Linked DNA regions of Sus scrofa. The protein of the gene in region 2 purifies or fractionates together with the protein of the main gene of each other region. This does not show direct contact. Links are inferred from orthologs where the notes say so. Each region holds a gene or a part of one and is shown on either strand. Other genes may lie near its edges. The genes, in order: PPP1R11 and UBXN2A.

Region 1 (3,910 bases), on a different chromosome or scaffold from region 2:
CTTAAGGGCATGAGGGGAGTGGGCAGGAGAGGAAGGAAAGAGCGCCCTGAGGTCTCTCATAAGACCTCACAATCCCACAGGCCAGGACTAAGAGTTAGCATTATGTAAAGACAGCAGTGGAAGAGCTCTAAGCCAGGGGTAACAAGCGTAGCTGGGCCGAGGTTGCCTGGAATCTGACTAGGACCCTGGCAGTGAAAGCTGGGGCTGTTGGAAACCCAGTTTAACTGTTTGGGACTCAAGTGGAGAGTGCATGGGGCCAGGATAACTGGATCCCAGGACAGGCAGTTTGGCAGTGAGAACAAAGGGAAGAGATTGGGACCAAGATGCCTGGATCCCTGGAGAGAGGAAGCTGGGTACTGGGAAGAGAAATGAGGACTCAGAGAACCCAGAAGCCTGGGCTCTGGAATAGCAGCAAGTCAGAATTCCGGGATCTCTGTCCACCCTCCTCTCCTGTTTCCTTCTATCCGGAGAGGGGAGGAAGGGGCTGGAGAAGGGATCAAACATGGGTTTAGTCCCCAAGGAGCCACATGAATACATTCAGGGCCAGACAGACACAGGAATGGTGGGGGAGAGAGGAATTTAGTGCTGCATTGGCCCTGGAGGGGGCTGGGAGGGGTCGGGAGGCTGCGGAGGGGTGGTGGGGCTTGGTCCCGGGGTTGCACGACGCCGTCCTTTGCGGTGGCCCCGTACACAGTGTGTATGACCACAGCCCTCCTCTTCCTCCTCATCACTCTCCGTGGAACTCTCGCCAAAAGCCCGAGGTTTCTCATAAATACAGCAGCCTGGATTTGAAAGGAGGAGCCCAGTTAAAAAGGAGGAAGAGTTACCTTCCAGGATCCAGCAGCCCTGGCTCACACCCTGGGACTCAAGCACCCAACTCCCTCGTCCTTTCCAGCCAGGAATCTAAAGCTCCATTTCTCCCATTTCAGATATGTCCTGACTTCAGGCCTTAGCACATCCCAGTTCAAGCCCCTCCTGACCTCCTTCCCTCTAACTCTAACCTTCTCTCCCTGACACCAGAGAATCCCCCAGACAACGACAGAATTGTGAGCACCTGCAGGCTTCAGGAAGGCCAGTGGATGTGACAAGGTAGAAGATATGCTCAGGGGAGCCAGGACTCCAGGGTTACTGTGGGCCAACAATTACTCACATTTTGATGAGCGGCGCCCCATGTGTTCGTTGTCCACAGTGTCACTCGTCCATTCTACCTTTTTCTCTGGCTTCCGTTTCCGAAGTTTGATGGTTAGGCTCCGGTTCTCCTGGAAGGTAAGAAGGATGGGCTTACCTATCGAATCCCCTCCCACTAACCTTTCCCCCTACCTCCCGGGGCGGGAGCTGGGGGGGGGGGGCTCCTCTCTTCCCTTTCCCAGCTCAGTCAGGATCATGGACCTAAGGCCAGAGGAGCTGAGGGCTGGGAGAAGATAAAATAGAACAGGTTTTGGACCTCAGGGTGTCCCTAGAGGAATCGTGACATGTTATCTCCTGTTCTTGGTAATCACTAGTATACAGAGAAGACACAATTCCTAACCTAGGGAAGGTCCCAGCAAATCTTCAAAGGAAAATATAATCCTCGCTGTTTCTCCATCTTCCTCCCCAAATCATCCTTGGTGGTATTAACACATGGAAATTATTTCCTCAGTCACCGATGCCTACTCTTTGATCTCTTTCTTTTTCCAGACCCCCTATTCTTTTTCCCATTAAAGAAAGAACTCTGTTCTCACCTGTCTCATCCTCAAGCCCAGCACTCCCCACCTCTTATCCATCTATTCTCCACCATCCTGACAGCTCCAATTACTATTACTCTAAACTCCCTTAATTCAAGGGTTATGAAGTTCCATACAATCTTTTCCCAATGAAAGCAACTTAACCTGTTTTGGCAAAAATGCTACATTTTTCTCTATTTACATCTCCGCTGGTTTCTCAAAATACTATCTTCATCTCCCTTTTCTTGTTCCCTCATTCTTTTGCTTCCTTTCGCATTCATCCCTTCAACGAATACTTATTCATAAGCATGCTTCCAGTCAAGTTCCCCTGCAGCTGGCCTCCAACCATGCTTTCTTACACAGCCCTTCATTTCCCCCAGCACCTCCCTTGCTCCGTAATCTCCAAGTTCCCGTTCTTTCTTTACTTCTACAAGCCCCCCTCCCCCAAGCAGCATCACCTACATCCTAACTCTATATATAACACGCTTCTCGACCAGCCTTCTGCACCAACTCTGACACACCAAAAATCCCCAATACCTTGCGATTCTCACAACCCCACTCCTCCCACATCCCCAGGCCCAGCCCCTCCAGCAACTCTCCAAAGCCCTATCCCTTCCCTCCCGGTAGCTCCCCGACCCCTAAACAGCACCGCCCCCCGCCTTTCTCACGGGCTCGGTTGTCACGGTAACCGTTGTCTCAGTGACGGTCTCACTCAGCCCGGCCCCTGCCTCCGCCATGGCTAAGGCTGAGGAGAGGAAGGAGGGGAGGAAGGGGGATGAGGCACCCTTCTCTCTTTTCTGTGTCTCTGAGGTCTAAGAGAATCCGTATCGGATTCAGATTAGTAGCCAGGTTCCTCCACCTTCTTTTTCCCCCTCCTCCTGGGCCTCCGCTGCCCCACCCCTGGGGATAACCTGTCCAACCCCACTTCCGGCTCTCCGCTTCCGGGTGTGACGCGTTCTGTGGTCCCCCTTTTCCCTTCCTGGCACTAAAGGCGTCAGAGCGCAGGGTCGCGGGATTAGTTCCGCCGTAATGTGACAGTGCGCAGGCGCCGCAAGGAGGCGACACGAATTTGGCGGAAGAGGCGTCCCTGAGGTGTGGGAGCAGGGGCGGGGCGATCAACGGCAAGAACCCGTTCCTGCACCGCACCACGGCGAACGGCAAGGGTAGCGATGACTTGCAGCTACAAAGTGGACGCTGTACCTGGTTTAAACATCCTGTGGCTGAGCCCCCAATCACCCCCCATAACCCCATATCCCTTGGGGTGTGTGGGAGGGCGAGGAAAACCAAGGGGCAATGACAATGCCTGTCCTCCTTTCCTTATTGTTTCGTCTGGGAACTAGAGAATGGGGACCCAGGGGCAATTGGAAACACACTTGATTAAGACTCTGGGTTTTAATCCTCGCCCTGTGACTGCAGGTGTTCGAGCAGGGCACTTAATGTCCCTTCAACTTGTATTTTTTTTTCCTGTCACTATCAGAACTTGAAGATGGAGGAGCATAAAACCCTCAAGATTCTGCCTTTTAGCTCCCGGTCTAGTGGGAAAGACTGGCATAAATACTAACAAAAATGTAAGTCACTGGACTATTAACATAAATGTAAGACTTACCTATGAAACTGAGTTACTGCCTACATTTGTCCTGGGGGGGGGGAAGATGAGTAAGATTAAGCACAGAAATGGTCATAAATTGTAATACAGACCAGTTTATGATGAGACAAAAAATATGTGCATGTTTCTCAGGGAGCAAAAGAGCGGTAAAAAGAGAACAAGAAGACAAATGAGTTTTTTAGGTAAAGAAAACAACCTACAAAGTCGTAGTTGCTTGCACGGAAGGAAACTCACTTTTGTACTGTGGGGACGTGAGGGGCGTGCCAGACAAGAACTGATGGGTGGGCATGGCCACACGGGAGGCCCTCCCTGTGTGCTTTGCTAAGAAACCGGGGCTTTACCCAGTCAGCGTTATAGACTAGGGAAAAGTTTAAAGTAGGGTAGAAACAGGAACAGGTTTTTTTTAGATTTCAGGAGTACGGCAGGAAAGTCAGCTACCACAACTGGTTAAACGTAGTGTGGAGGACTGCCCGGCTCATTCCTCTAAGCTGTTGTGGGGTCAAATAAGTGTATGTTTGAGACTCCTAATATATAAAGGGCCACACAATTACAAGATAATCATTACCATTATTTAAACCAAGAAATGCAGGAATATTGATTC
Region 2 (4,315 bases):
ACTAGTCAGGTTCGTTAACCACTGAGCCACGATGGGAACTCCTGCTTGTTTGTTTTTTTTTGATAACAATTTTTATTTTTTCCATTATAGATGGCTTACAGTGTTCTGTCAATTTCTACTGTACAGCAAAGTGACCCCCCCACAAAATATACATTCTTTCTCTCACATTCTTTCTCTCCATCATGTTCCATCATAAGTGACTAGATATATAGTTCCCTGTGCTATTCAGCAGGATCTCATTGCTTATCCACTCCAAATGCAATAGTTTGCATTGATTAACCCCAGACTCACAGTCCATCCCACTCCCTCCCCCTCCCCCTTCAGCAACCACATGTCTGTTCTCCAACTCCATGAGCTTCTTTTCTGTGGAAAGGTTTATCTGTGCCATATATTAGATTTCAGATATAAGTGATATCATACGGTATTTGTCTTTCTCTGTCTGACTTAGTATGAGTCTCTAGTTACATCCATCTTGCTGCAAATGGCATTATTTTATTTTATTTTTTTTTATGGCTGAGTAACAAAAGTATTTTAAATGCAAAAATCTTAGGAGAAAGGGGAAACTTCTGCAGAAACAATCAAGATTGCTGAGCTAGCCAGCCTTTGACACCATGACATGCTCACTCCAGGGTTCCATTATGAAATGCTATTTACCTTGCAAAATCCATCTCAAATACTGCTTTAGAAAACCTTTCACAATTCCTCCAAAAGGCATGAATACAGAATTACTAACACAGCAGGGAGAGATTAAGTACGTACTCTTAAAAATCTGCCCTACCTTCATAGCCACAATCCTAATCCCAACTATCATCTCTAGGGCGTTTCCCCACATCCATTCTTGTCCCCATCCAATTTGCAGAGGAGTCACGGTGACCTTTTTGATTAAGATACAAACTTGATTATGGGGCTTTCCTGTTTAAAACCCTTTAGTGACCTCCCATTACTCTTCAAATAAGGTCTACATCCTCTGGATAAAATTAAAGGGGAGTTCACTGCAATGTTCTCTTAACTACATTTGAGTGGTTTGAAAATTTCCCCATAAAAGTTTAAAAAAGGGAGGAAAAAAAAAAAAAAAGCTGGTCCCAAATCTTTAACATTGTATGAAGGACGCACATAATCTCTCTGGCCCTAACTACAGGCCCCTTTTGCTTTCTACACTCAATCCAACTGCTTTGCCATTCAGTTCCCCCAATCTTCCCAAGCCTCTGTGGAACTGATTTCCTTTGCCTGAACCTTTTCTGGGAGTCACCCAATTCCTACTTATCCTTAATAACTAAGCTCAAAGATTCCTTTCCGAGGAAAAAACAACTGATTTCTTCAGCTGGGATAGGTACCCTGGTTACATACTCTCATAACACCCTACATTCTTCCTTTTTACCTTCTCTCTAGGTTGACTGGCATTTACTTGTGGGATTATTTGTTTACCTTGTTTCCTCCAATGACAATGTAGAGTCCTTAAAGGCAAAACCTATAATCATCACCCACATATTCTTACCTCAACACACAATACGTACTAAATGAATGAAAAACTAAGTAATTAACATTAAATATTAAGTATACATGTATAGTATTTACCACATGCCAAGGTTAAGAGTCAGTGCTCAATACATAATTAACAAATACCATATTCTGTCTTGCATCATTATTATTTGTGTGCTTAATCACTTTCTCCATCCTGCACACAAATCTTACTCATTTTTGGATTTCACCAATTCCTAGATCTAACTTTATTCATCGGATTTAATTGCTTTCTAAATCTACATGATACATAGTACTGTATAAAACACATCATTAACGAGAACCTACTGTGTAGAACAGGAAAATCTACTCAATAGTTTGAAATAACCTATATAGGAAAAGAGAATGGACTTTTCTATGACTGGTTCTGTACACCTGAAACTAATACAACATTGTAAATTAACTTTACTCCAAAAAATTAAATTTAAAATAATGACTTACAACATATTTAGAAGTCACAAGATCAACTTTTTTTAAAGAGTTTTTCACATTTAAACTAAAATATAAATAAAAACCTTATGAACAGCTCTCAGAACACTTAAGCCACGACTGTGAAACAAGGAAGCTGGTTTTCACGTCGTTCACAACCTGTCATATGTAACAGTTCCACGTCGACATAAATACAGACTGTCAATTTTCTACGTTTTATTTTCAATGATCTCACATTAAGTACAGAGTAACCAACGCTGGATGCCACACTAACGTCCCTTATTGCTAACAAGTAACTTCAAACAACCAGAAAAATGGATACATAGGAAAAAAAAAAAGATGTGAAAACAACGAAGAGCAAGCCTACACCATAAAACGTAGGTTGCGGGAGCCACGTATTGAGGTTACCTAAGGAATGTTCGCCCCAAACAGGCACGCTTTGCATTTCTGTACTGTGCGTTTGCATTCTGAGAACTGAACTGGAAGTTTCAAAGCGCTGCGCTTGCCCGCAGTCGGCCGCTCGGGAAGACGCGCAGACCGCAGGCCCAGAGCCGCGCCTCACCTGCGCTGGGCAGGAGTCCCGCCCAGGCCGCCCTTTCGGGGTCGCAGACACGGACTCCGAAACCGAGACAAGGAAAGGGCCCCGCGGCTTGGGCGGCCCCAGGATCCCCGGCGCCCCGCTGGGGAAACGCCCGCCCGCCCGCCTACGCCCCTCACCCGGCCGAACGCGGCGCGGCCCCTGAAAACTCACCTCCGGGCGCGGCCGCTGGAGGGGGCCGCGCCGCGCCGTCGCCTCGCGGCCTCCTCAATTCGCTCAGGGGCCGCGGGCGCCGCCGCCGCCCCTGCCGCTGGGCTGGAGCCACTCAGACAGGAAGCACCGCCGCCCCCAGATCCTCTCAGGCTCGGCAGCCGCTCCGCTGGGCCCCCTCCTGCCTCCCACGGTCACCGCAGCCGGCAGCTGAGCTCTGAGATCGCGCCGAGGCCGGTGCTGCGCAGACCCGGGCGCGCGCACCGGCCGCGGGGGCGCGCGCGGGGGGCGGGGCCGGCGGCAGCGGCCGCGTCGGTCCTCAGCGTTACCGCCCTCATGGCGGCCGCCTCCTTGCTGCGGGCGCTGCTGGTGGTGGCCTCTTCACCCTGCTCGGAAAATGCAGGGAGCTAGGCGTGGGCTCACCCGAGAACTCAGCATCAACTTACCTGTCTACCTCTTCAGCTTCTGGTTGAATCCGCGGAGAGATTTCTCTGTATTCGGACCATGTTGAACTTTCCCTGAGTCCAGTGATTCTGGAAAGCCACGGTTAAAGAAATCCCCCCACCTTTCCACGTTCCTGAAAGGCTTGACAGCGAGGAGCCTCCCTTCCCCGTTGTGATTTAGATAAGACTCACGGATACCCCCTTGTTTACCTTGGACGAGGCCTGACAGAGACCCTCCAAATCCCCATTCTTTTTGCTTCACAAAGGATTAGCTGAACTGCTTATACTCACTAACCAGTCTGGACAAAATACTGGCTCCCTGGATTTTTTTTTTTTAATAATTTTTTTTATTTTATTTTCCCACTGTACAGCAAGGGGGTCAGGTTATCCTTACATGTATACATTACGATTACATTTTTTCCCCCACTGGCTCCCTGGATTTGACCAAAGTTAAGGTTCTCTCCTTCCTCCAGGCTCCTAAACTTTGACCCACCCTCAGCCTAATCCAGCATACAAACCCTCCTTCACCACCGCTCATTAAAATAGGCTGAGTTCCATGCAAAACACTGATCGTCTGTGTTATCACTGCTATCTCCACCTGTCTGTCCCACTGTGCACCACACCCAGTTTTTTCCACAGTTGCTGATCTCAGGGTCATGGTCACAGAGCTCCCCTCTAACAAGGTTTGTCCCTCACCCCCCCCCATTGCAGTACTTCCTTTTCCTTTTTTCGGCATAATCCTATCCAATAAAGTCTTTATCTAAACCCAAAGTTTATTTATTTGCGTATAATTGGATATTCTCCCAATTGTAATTGTACTCCAGCAGTATTTTTATAGTCTCTTCCCACCCCCATCCCACCCTCGCCCCACCCTCCTTGGAATAATCCTTTCAAATATATTCTTAATTTGCCTAAATCAGTTTTTGTTCTTACTTGACAGTTTTTAGTGCTGGAATTCAAATTGATATTGGACCTCACCTAAGGACCCCTGCCATTCCCACCTAAGTAAAGGCACCCTGTGAATCTTTGGAACTTGTCTTTCAGTTGTGCAATTCCGGAATCCTGTGGTGAGTTCAACTTTCAGCCAATTCTCTAGAAACTTGTCTATTGAAGCTCCCAATAAGGAGTTTGATTCCTTAGGGCAAAAGACTTTTCTATGGATGGCTTTTAAGTGTTG

What was found.
Region 1: the proteins of UBXN2A (region 2) and PPP1R11 purify together in Homo sapiens (affinity purification with mass spectrometry; 3 studies listed by BioGRID and IntAct, counting the BioPlex papers as one, with this or other methods). This does not show direct contact. The link is inferred for Sus scrofa from reciprocal best matches to the Homo sapiens genes UBXN2A and PPP1R11.

What each region holds. Positions count from the first base shown.
Region 1 is NC_010449.5:22,632,604-22,636,513, reverse strand, and holds PPP1R11 (protein phosphatase 1 regulatory subunit 11), read right to left. Parts: upstream 2,441-3,910; coding exon 2,372-2,440; intron 2,292-2,371; exon of another isoform or gene 1,764-2,291; coding exon of another isoform or gene 1,722-1,763; intron 1,260-1,721; coding exon 1,151-1,259; intron 783-1,150; coding exon 580-782; downstream 1-579. UniProt on the Homo sapiens protein: Atypical E3 ubiquitin-protein ligase which ubiquitinates TLR2 at 'Lys-754' leading to its degradation by the proteasome.
Region 2 is NC_010445.4:114,711,219-114,715,533, forward strand, and holds the start of UBXN2A (UBX domain-containing protein 2A), read right to left. Parts: upstream 2,968-4,315; 5' UTR 2,699-2,967; intron 1-2,698. UniProt on the Homo sapiens protein: Acts to repress the ubiquitination and subsequent endoplasmic reticulum-associated degradation of CHRNA3 by the STUB1-VCP-UBXN2A complex in cortical neurons.